Canis lupus familiaris: one gene and its partners. The protein of the gene in region 1 interacts with the protein of each later gene in a pairwise test. Links are inferred from orthologs where the notes say so. Each region holds a gene or a part of one and is shown in the gene's direction. Other genes may lie near its edges. The genes, in order: TRIM41, GPATCH2L and FRA10AC1.

What was found.
Region 2: the proteins of TRIM41 (region 1) and GPATCH2L interact in binary tests that used the Homo sapiens proteins (3 or more experiments, as listed by UniProt). The two-hybrid records come from large-scale screens. The link is inferred for Canis lupus familiaris from reciprocal best matches to the Homo sapiens genes TRIM41 and GPATCH2L.
Region 3: the proteins of TRIM41 (region 1) and FRA10AC1 interact in binary tests that used the Homo sapiens proteins (3 or more experiments, as listed by UniProt). The two-hybrid records come from large-scale screens. The link is inferred for Canis lupus familiaris from reciprocal best matches to the Homo sapiens genes TRIM41 and FRA10AC1.

What each region holds. Positions count from the first base shown.
Region 1 is NC_049232.1:605,952-609,216, forward strand, and holds the end of TRIM41 (E3 ubiquitin-protein ligase TRIM41), read left to right. Parts: intron 1-286; coding exon of another isoform or gene 287-319; coding exon 320-550; intron 551-1,083; coding exon 1,084-1,106; intron 1,107-1,303; coding exon 1,304-1,431; exon of another isoform or gene 1,432-1,432; intron 1,433-1,869; coding exon 1,870-2,471; 3' UTR 2,472-2,618; coding exon of another isoform or gene 2,619-2,756; 3' UTR 2,757-2,762; downstream 2,763-3,265.
Region 2 is NC_049229.1:49,418,821-49,422,472, forward strand, and holds part of GPATCH2L (G patch domain-containing protein 2-like), read left to right. Parts: coding exon 1-314; intron 315-1,980; exon of another isoform or gene 1,981-2,147; intron 2,148-3,652.
Region 3 is NC_049249.1:8,100,842-8,104,493, reverse strand, and holds part of FRA10AC1 (protein FRA10AC1), read left to right. Parts: intron 1-644; coding exon 645-740; intron 741-871; coding exon 872-917; intron 918-3,652. UniProt on the Homo sapiens protein: May be involved in pre-mRNA splicing.

The sequences.
Region 1 (3,265 bases):
TGGCCCTAATTTAGATATAGAGGGGCGGGAAGACTTCCCTCAGGGAATATTTTTAAGCTTAGACCTGACGAACAAATCAAGTTAATTAGCCAGTGTGGAGATAAGTTGGAAGCAGGAGTTGTTGAGTTTGAGACTAGTGTGCTGGGGGTGTGGGAGTGGTGCCTGGTAAGGCTGGGAGGTGGGGAAGGGTTTAGGGGCTACTTTCCATTTGGGATGTAGGGCTCCGATACCTTGGATTGAGGGGCAGCAGTTGCAAAATTGGAAGTTTATGTTTCTGTGTGTTGAGGTGGTATCCACCATCCCCTTTGCATCATCCCAGAGCCAGATGAAGTCAGAGTTGGCAGCTGTGGCCTCGGAGTTTGGACGGCTGACACGGTTTCTGGCTGAAGAACAGGCAGGGTTGGAGCGGCGCCTCCGGGAGATGCATGAAGCCCAGCTAGGGCGTGCAGGAGCAGCGGCCAGCCGCCTGGCGGAGCAGGCTGCCCAGCTGAGCCGCCTGCTGGCGGAGGCCCAGGAGCGGAGCCAGCAGGGGGGTCTACGGCTGCTCCAGGTGAGCAGTGCTCCCTTCCCTCTCTCCCCCTCCCACCAAACCCTGTAGTTACTCTGTCAGGCAGTGCTTACTAAACATCTGTCCAGAGCTGCCTTTCTTCTCATTGGGAGGAACCCACAATGACCAAAAGGTTTTTTTGAGGCTGGGGACAGAGTTAATGCCAAGTGTGTGGCAGGAGAAAAGAAAGAAGTTTCAATTGTAGATGAGGGTTTTAAAGGAGAGTTAAGGAAGAATTTTTGACAGATATCCTGAAAAAGATGACCAAGTCACTTTGTGAACATTGTTTTACTGGGGTTGAAAATTATGCTATTGGTTTTGGAGCAAGAGTTGCTGAATGAATGAATCAGCTGTGTTGAGGCATAGGGATGATTGAGATATATGCTTACTGAGGGCCTTAGGGTGCTTTTTCTTACTCCCTGTTCAAGTTCAGTCGTTTCTCTGGCTGGAATCAGATTGGGAGAAAGGAGCTGTCTCTGTGCAGCTGACTCTCTCTTTGTCTCTTTTTTCCCTCTCCCTCTTTTTGTTATTCCCAGGACATCAAGGAGACTTTCAATAGGTGTGTTGCCACCCTTTATCCTCTGTGACCCAGTGGCATCTGGTTCCCCATCCCTACTTCTGTTGGATATCCCGCTCCTTTCCTTCCCCAGGACCCGAGTTTCTGCCTCCTGGACCCTCCTCTCCTTCCCCTCAGCTTCTGCTCTTCCCTCTGGGAATATCATGGTCCCACCCCCTGCCCGGTCCCCCTTCCTCCAGGTGTGAAGAGGTACAGCTGCAGCCCCCAGAGGTCTGGTCCCCTGACCCGTGTCAACCCCATAGCCATGACTTCTTGACAGATGCCATCGTGAGGAAAATGAGCCGGATGTTCTGTCAGGCTGCCCGAGGTAGGGAGGTCACCTGTACGACCTTCCTTTGCCTTTCACTTCACACACCTGAGATTAGGTTCTGAGGGGGAAGTTGAATCCTGAGGGAAGCTTGGGGCTGAGGTGGAGCAGGGTACAGGCAGGCCATATGGGGCTTTAAGCCACGAGTAGCTTTTGTCCTAGTCCGGGTAGGTAGTGGTGGGGGAAGAGGAGGAGGGGTAGCAAGAAGAGCCAGGGCCAGAGGGAGGACCTGTCCACAGGAACTCAATTCTGGCCTCTTAGGATGGGGTGGGGTGAGGTCAGCTAGAAGGGGGAGAGAAAAAGTGAGGGGGAAGGCAGGAAGGAGGCAGGAAGGCAGAGGGGAGGACAACAGGAAAGGCCGAATCTTAAAAAGAGTTTATATTGATTGGGGAACAAGTTGTTCCAGCCTTGGCATATTTGTCCTCCCCCCTTCTCAAGTGGACCTGACGCTGGACCCTGACACGGCTCACCCAGCCCTGATGCTGTCCCCTGACCGCCGGGGGGTTCGTCTGGCAGAGCGGCGGCAGGAGGTTGCTGACCATTCCAAACGCTTCTCAGCCGACTGCTGTGTATTAGGGGCCCAAGGCTTCCGTTCTGGCCGGCACTACTGGGAGGTAGAGGTGGGCGGGCGGCGGGGTTGGGCGGTGGGCGCTGCCCGTGAATCGACCCATCATAAGGAGAAAGTGGGCTCTGGGGGGTCCTCTGTGGGCGGTGGGGATGCCAGCTCCTCGCGCCATCACCATCGCCGCCGCCGCCTCCACCTACCCCAACAGCCCCTGCTCCAGAGGGAAGTGTGGTGTGTGGGCACCAACGGCAAACGCTACCAGGCACAGAGCTCAACGGAGCAGACACTGCTGAGCCCAAGTGAGAAACCACGGCGCTTTGGTGTATACCTGGACTATGAGGCTGGGCGCCTGGGCTTCTACAATGCGGAGACTTTAGCCCATGTGCATACCTTCTCAGCTGCTTTCCTGGGCGAGCGTGTCTTCCCTTTCTTTCGGGTGCTCTCCAAGGGCACCCGTATCAAGCTCTGCCCTTGATTAGCCTGCCACCCGCAGGGGCCCCTCTGGTTAGCACTTGGGGGGCGGGTGGTGGTGGAGGGTGGCCCGTAAGTTTGGGGGCTCAAAGGCTCCTTCCAATGTTTGTTGCTTCCTGCTCCTTTGACCCAGGCCCGCTTCTCCCTCTAGGAGCCTAAAGAACCCTCCTGGCCTGCAGCTCGGCCTTCTCTCACCTGCAATGTCTGTCCAACAGGTCTGCATGGGTCCCTGATGAGAACAGCTGCTTGGTTTTCCTTCCCTCTGTCCACCCAGGGGTCTGAGTTTTGAGTAGGGGATGAAGGGAGATTTAACTCCATTACTTAACTTCCCTTTCCCTGCTCTTCAACCTTAGTGCCCAGGCTGGGGTACTTGGGCAAGATTCAGGTCTGCCCCTATTCCAATTCCGTTTTCTGATGCAAATTTTAGCTGAGGGATTTGGAAGCTTTTTTGGGGGAGGCAGGTTGGGCAAAAGGGTAGAGCTGGGTAATAAATGTCTACTCTAGGGGAAGTAGGAGGGATTCAAAACTCCTTCCATCCCCAAATTCTACCTCCATAGACTGGCCACATTTTAGCTTGAGATATAGATTGGTTGACATGATCGAAACTAGATACCATTGTATCACCCAATAAATTATTTTCTCCCCCTTCCTTTTTTCCAGCACTCAAACTAGGAATAAAGCTCACCCCACCCAACTCCTTTAGGTCTTTTTCACTGCCAGGCTCCTTTCCCCTTTGTTCAGTGGAGTTCCTTGTGTCAGTTTTCAGCCTCATGTCTTTAGTTCTCTCCATTTGGTGAG
Region 2 (3,652 bases), on another chromosome or scaffold:
TTTACCGAAAATGCACCATGTCGACCACTCCGGCGCCGGAGGAAGGTGAAGCGAGTGACATCAGAGGTGGCCGCCAGCCTTCAGCAGAAGCTCAAGGTGTCAGATTGGAGCTATGAGAGAGGCTGCAGGTTCAAGTCAGCTAAGAAGCAGCGTCTGTCCCGCTGGAAGGAGAATACTCCCTGGACCTCATCAGGTCATGGGTTGTGTGAATCAGCAGAAAATAGGACTTTCCTAAGCAAAACAGGAAGGAAAGAAAGGATGGAGTGTGAAGCAGATGAACAAAAACAGGGCTCTGATGAGAACATGTCAGAATGGTGAGATCTCCCTTACTAAGTCAGAGATTGTCCTGGTTATTTTTACCCTGAGTACAAATCCATAGTCTTGAGGAGTTCAACCTTCTTTCAGAGCTAGCCACTGTAATGCTGACTTTGTAGCCCCTCCTTTAAGCAATCTGCTAGGGTCTGTCTCTAGCTTTTTACAGTATATTCATGATTCTATTTCCCTATGTCAAGAAAGCTATGTATAATGAAACACATTTGTTTCTAAAAATTGTTTAAAATGCATACCTCACATGCATAACCATGAATTTTATTTTAAAAACAATTTACTGCAGTTTATGCCATGTAGATCATATGTAGATGTTGTGAGAACGAGGGTCTCAGTAGAGGCTGGTGTGTGTGTTTGTGTATGTGAGAAAATGTTGGTGCCAGGCACATGGAGTTTGTGTATGTTCCTGGTAAGCTGCCTTTCCCCTTAAGAGTCATGGCTTTAGCTACGGGGCTATCATTCTGTTGTCTGCTCCCTCCAGTTTGACTGCACTGAGTTTATTTTTTATGGCTGACATTCAAGCCGCCTGAACACATGGTGGGCTTTGAGAATAACGGTACTGAATCCCATTAGTCTTACACCAAATGCCATTGAGCCAGAAACATTTGTGTCTGTGCTTTACAGGATATATGGCATCCTTACACTGTTCCCATCCCCTTCATAGTATCAGACCAAGTGCCTTTGTAGGTGCTGCCTCTTGGGCTGGTAGTCCCAGTTGAATGGTCAGAACTCCACTGTATGGTAGGCCCTGCTGTTCATATTTTAGAAGAGGAGATGAAGGTTCATAGTATTGAGATAATTTGCCCACGGTCACCCGGTAGCAAAACTGGGAATTGAACCTGATTCCAAGGTTCATATGTAACAACCATGAATTTGCCCTTTGCTGCCCTTTGAATTTGCCTTTTCCATGGCTCTTTTTCTGTCTCATTGCAACTTTTACAACCGTAGAATGTGTGGCCTTTCTTAGGACTTTGCTTCTGAAGTTCGTCTGAAAAACAAAGACATAAATCTTAGGAATTATGAGGTAAAGCTATGTCAGTAATAGGAAAAGCTCCTTAATCTTTATGCCTGTACCTTTCATGGGCGACTTTTAATCAAGCTTTAACAGTTTTTCTGAGTAGCTTTATATTTGCCAGTCTGCACAACCAGGTAGGCTTATAATTTGCTTTCCCTCATTTTCTTCTAATGTATATCCTAAGTCCTATTTTCTCAATTTATATGTATAATTTTGGGTTATAAAAGTTTTCTTATCATGTTGTTTTTAATCAAATAAATGTTTAGTCAACTTATAGTCTTTCACAATATCAAAACCCTCAATTGGGTCATTTAAGTATGTTTCAGTATCAAACATAATAATTTACTGTTGAGAATTGTGATTTTTAAAAATTGTTTTTTGCTGTGATAGCTTGTGTTTATTTCTTCCCCAGAATTTCTTGTTATGACGTTATTGTAGGTGAGGGACTGTTAACTATGTCTGCTCTTAAGATAACAGTTCAGGAATGGTTCCAGGCATAGAGTCTGTAATCTAGCAGTGAGGCTCTTTAGTCTTTCCAGTTCCTCCCCCACCCCCACCCCCACCCACATCTATTGCTCATAGGTTGTGATAAACACTCTAGTTATCTGAGAGCCTGAATAAGTTGAAGTAGGCAGCAATCCTTATGAAATATTTATTCTCTTCAAATTGAGAATACCTTGTGTATTCTCTCTCACAAATACCCCATTTATGCTGTATGCCTGGTCCATGACTTTAGAGTTCTTTTAATAATGGAGGCCCAAGTCCTTGAAGCTCTGAGGGAGTAGTTGGTGGAGTAGTAGCAGACCTAAAATGAGAATAATTCTTCTTTAGAATCTAATTTTTTAGGAGTTTTAAATATACTTTGACTTCTGTTGATTCATCTGTAGTTAAAACAGAAATGCTTCTTACCTTTTCCTCCTAAATCTACTCTTTGGAGAAAGAGAGGTTGACTGCAAATTATGTTCAGCTTCCCAACAGTAAGATGGAACTAAAATCTTGCCTTGATTATTAAGCCCATCTTGTGGATAGGACTAGCATTAGTGTGTGTTTAAGTAGATAATAATTTACAATTTGGATATTATATGATTTTTGGGGAGTTGGTTTGTGAGAAATCTTCCTATCTTTTTTTCTGCATTAACAGATATTTTAAAGAATCTTGGTTATTCTTTCATAAATCTGCTTAGATGTGCCTGTTTGTTCACCTACAGCTCAAGTGTAGAACTTTACTTTTTTTTTTTTTTTTAAGATTTATTTGTTTTAGAAGAGAGAGTGCATGCACATGTTCACAAGAATGGGGGTGGGTGCAGAGGGTCAGAGTGAGAGGGAGGGAATCTCAGGCAGACTCCCTGCTGAGTACAGAGCCCAACTCAGGGCCTGATCTCACAACCCTGAGATCACAACCAGAGCCAAAATCAAGAGTTGAATGCTTAGTCAACTAAGCCACCCAGGTGCTACTAGAACTTTACCTTTTATTAGTGGTGTTGAAGATTGTCAGCCTGTATGATCCGACTGGTAAAATTATTAGGATGAGGCTGATCATTAAGCTTAACTTAGCCTTGTCAGTGGATAGAGTTCTTTTAAAAAATGTGTATCAGATGTTTTAGGTTTGAAAATGTGTGTCTCAACCAAAGAGCTTTATTTCTAATTTCCTTAAACTTTACTAATTAACCATGGAATAGTTTTAAGCTTGACCAGTAATTCCTTTACTTTTTCTATTCTTCCTTCAGTTCTGTGCCAACCAGTCCTTCAGGAGTTCTGAGGAACTGAAAGTGGTTATGATGTAAAAGTTTCTTATGCCTACAAAAGATCAATTATTATTTTAATATTTTCCTGTGTATGTGTATTCCATTCTAAAATGGAGCAATTATTTTGTAAAATTAGTTTCTACTGTCTTTATTCATATCATCTGTATAGCAGCTATTAGGTGATTCATAGCATGATTTTGCTCTATTCTTCACTAACACATCATTTGTTTGTTCCCCTTGAATATAGTTTAGCTTCTGTTCTTTTATAAGGGAACTGGTTTGATGTTGGCCTGAAGTCTCAGTCAGGAGCCTTCCTGAGTGATGTATTAGAGGCCAATCTCACAGGAAAGAAAATATTCCCTTCTCTTAGAAGGCAAGTGACAGAGATAGAGTGCTAAACCTCCTCCCTCCTTCTCCAGCCCAGGCTGACCTTCTGCGGCCCCTTGGTGCCTCTTGTTTTCTTATTTTTATAGAAAATCAATATCCCTTCTGACACAAACAATAGCTCAGAAGCAAGAATAAATGGGAGAAAGCTGAGATCTCTGTCCATCACTTTTCACTTTTA
Region 3 (3,652 bases), on another chromosome or scaffold:
GAGAATTATGACACAAAGAGATCAAGTAACTTAACCTTGTTTAAGATTAAGATAGTGAATGACAGAGCCCAAGTTTGGATCCTGAAATCTGGGTGGCCTGACCCCAGAACCCATTCATTAGTTTCATCTTCTCAATTTATATTTATTTATTTATTTATTTATTTATTTATTTATTTATTTATTTATTTATTTATTTATTTATTCATTCATTCATTCATTCATTCATTTCATTCATTCATGAGACAGAGAGAGAGAGAGAGAGAGAGAGAGAGAGAGGCAGAGGCACAGGCAGAGGGAGAAGCAGGCTCCATGCGGGGAGCCGAGCGTGGGACTTGATCCCGGGTCTCCAGGATCACACCGTGGGCCGAAGGCGGCACTAAACCACTGAGCCCCCTGGGCTACCCTCTCTATTTTTTATGTATTAAATAAAGTTAAGAAATTAAGTTATTGGAGCAAGACTAACATGTCTCATTAAAGATCAGTGAGTCTTTTTTAAGACTTGAATTTTTAAAAATGTTCCAATTTTTAAAGTATAAAGAAACAGCAAATGCCTTTTGAGAAAATAATTTATAATAATTTTTCTTTTAATAATTTTTGATAATTTTTCTTTTATAATTTAATTAACTTTTCTTCATCACAAACAGGACAATTGAAGATGATTTACTGCTCAAAAAGCCATTTCAGAAAGAAAAACATGGAAAGGTGGCCCATAAACAAGTTGCAGCAGAATTGCTGGATAGGTATGTACTTCAGTGTAAATTACTTTTTTTTTTTTTGGCTTAAGATGTTTTTATAAACTCAAGGACTTGGAGATTTAATTATATTAATTAGAATATGGACATTTGAATTTGTTTAAAATTTGTCTTAACAGGGAAGAAGCAAGAAATAGAAGGTTTCATCTCATAGCTATGGATGCTGTATCCTTTTTGTATTTCTAGATTTTTATAACCAATAGAATATTTTAAATTTTTATTTATTTTTTTAAATTTTTTTATGATAGTCACACAGAGAGAGAGAGAGAGAGGCAGAGACACAGGCAGAGGGAGAAGCAGGCTCCATGCACCGGGAGCCCGACGTGGGATTTGATCCCAGGTCTCCAGGATCGCGCCCTGGGCCAAAGGCAGGCGCTAAACCGCTGTGTCACCCAGGGATCCCTAGAATATTTTAAAATCTACTTTTTTATTTCATAAAATCTTGTGAAGTCAGGTAGACCTAAATTATGTTTTTTTTTTCTAAATTATGTTTTTAAAGGTGTTTATTGATGTGCAGTCTTGTCATTTATACTTTTGAGTACAATTCTGTTTTATTAATACATAAGAAAGATTTAAAGACAAAAATAATAAAACATGGGACGCCTGGGTGGCTCAGTGGTTTAGCCTCTGCCTGCGGCTCAGGGCAAGATCTCCAGGTCCTGGGATCGAGTCCTGCATTGGGCTCCCTACAGGGAGCCTGTGTGCCTGCCTGTGTCTCTGCCTCTCTCTCTCTCTCTGTCTTTCATGAATAAATAAATCTTTAAAATAATAATAATAAAACATATTACTAATGATCTATAAATAGGTTTACAAAGTCCATGAACCTGCAGTTATTTTTCCAACCTGTATTTGCCACGCTCTCAACATTTCTCATTTTAGTACTGCTTTTATCTTTAGTCTCATTTTAACTCTTACTCTTTTACTATCTGGTTCTTGGCTTTTTAAGGTCTTCGTAAAACTTGTACCTAAAAGTAGATAGATGGGTGTGTGGACTGTCCTCAGACCTCTTGTGGCTTCATCTCTCAGGCATGACTTAGGACTATCTTTAAGCTGTATCTTGCTTCCGCTATTATAGCCATGTCTCACTTCAGCTTTTTGGTAAGACTGTGGCTCATTATTCTGACTGCTACCACTGGCCATCCATATTACAGTTGGGAATGTTGGAGAATGAAAGAGAAGCCAACCAAGACCTATAGTGTTTCTTGGTATTTATTATTACAGTCAGGATTAAGAGAAGGAGATGATGGCAATTAGATACATCATCTACCTATTGCCATCTGTTTCCTTTGTTATCATTCCTAATCTTTTTCTTTAACTTATAGAAATTATCTTACCACCGATTTATTCCTCTTCTAACCCAATGGCTTGGCTTTCCCATGGATCTCATCTGCCACTTGTTCCTTTAGTATTTCAGCATCTATTATGCCTTCTATGACCCCACTCATTTGAGGGTGTTGGGGGATCTAGTTATAGCCTGGTGAGTGTGAAAGTGTAGGTCCCCTTTTCTGGCATGGGGAGAGGTTGGGCCAGGTATTTCTAGGATTTCTGGCTAGAGTAGAGTAGATATTGTCTAAGTTTCCTCATGTTAGGCTACCCTCTCTCTTGATTATTCAATTAGAGAGAGCTTTGTTGGGACTCTTCTTGTCTATGCTTGTTGGGATTTTTAGGTTGCTAGCTTCTTTATTTCTGTTTGAGTTTATGAGTCAAAAAGAAAACCTGAGTAACTTACTACCATGTCATACCATAGGTCTTGAGCTCTCTAGCTGTTATGCCTTCGACTCCTCACCTTTCAGAGTCTTATATTTGTTTAAGATATAATTTCCAAGGTTTTTAGTTGTTCTTGGTGGGAAGAATAGGGAGAAGTACATTTTTGTCTACACCATCTTCCTGGAACCAAGGACCCATTCAGCACCTATTTTTGTAAATAAAGTCTTATTGCCACATACCTGTGCTTATTCATCGAGGTGTTATCTGTTCCCACTTTCATGCTAAAATGACAGAGCCAAGCTGTTGTGACAGGTACCATATTGCCTGCGTATGTACCATTAACAGAATTTGCTAACCCTAGTTTTAAAAGATTGAGGTGACTTGCCGTGATTGTATGACCAGTTAGAGACAGGCCAAGAGCAAATCTCTGGATATCTGGCTTTCTCTTTTTTCTTTTCTGAAAGGTTAGCTGCTTTGTTGCCAGTTTTGGAAGTGTTATATTCTGATTCAATATTCTATTAGAACATATTGTGATGAATTAAGTCATTATTTACCTTTGACATAATAGGGTGTAATCAGACAGCATTATGGATGAGATCAGTTCTGTAATTTGCATGCTCTGCTCTGGAGAGAATACCATTGAGCTTTTTAAACAAAAAAGTAAAATGCTCGTATATCTTGTTATATTGCATTAAAAATAAACATGACTGGGATGCCTGGGTGGCTCAGTAGTTGGGCGCCTGCCTTCGGCTCAGGTTGTGATCCCGGAATCTAGGATTAAGTCCCGGATTGGACTCCCTGCAAGGAGCCTGCTTCTCCCTCTGTCTGTGTCTCTGCCTCTCTCTCAGTCTGTGTCTCTCATGAATAAATAAATAAATCTTTAAAAAACAATTAAACATGACTGAATTCCTTAAATATTGAAAGTATAAAAAAGAACATCTGATTTGTTATATTTACATATTTTTGAAAGCCTAATATTAGGATTTAATATATAAAATTTGTATCTTCTATTTTAGAGGCTTTTTCATTACTGGAATAATTAAATTATATCTTGTAGTAATAAAATGCAATTTGTACTCCTTACCTTTAATTTGAAAAAATATTCAAAGCAATATAAATGATATTCAGTAGAAAATGAAAGCCCTTCTGCTCTACATTGTTGACTCCTTCTAACAGTTTAATATTTAACCTTT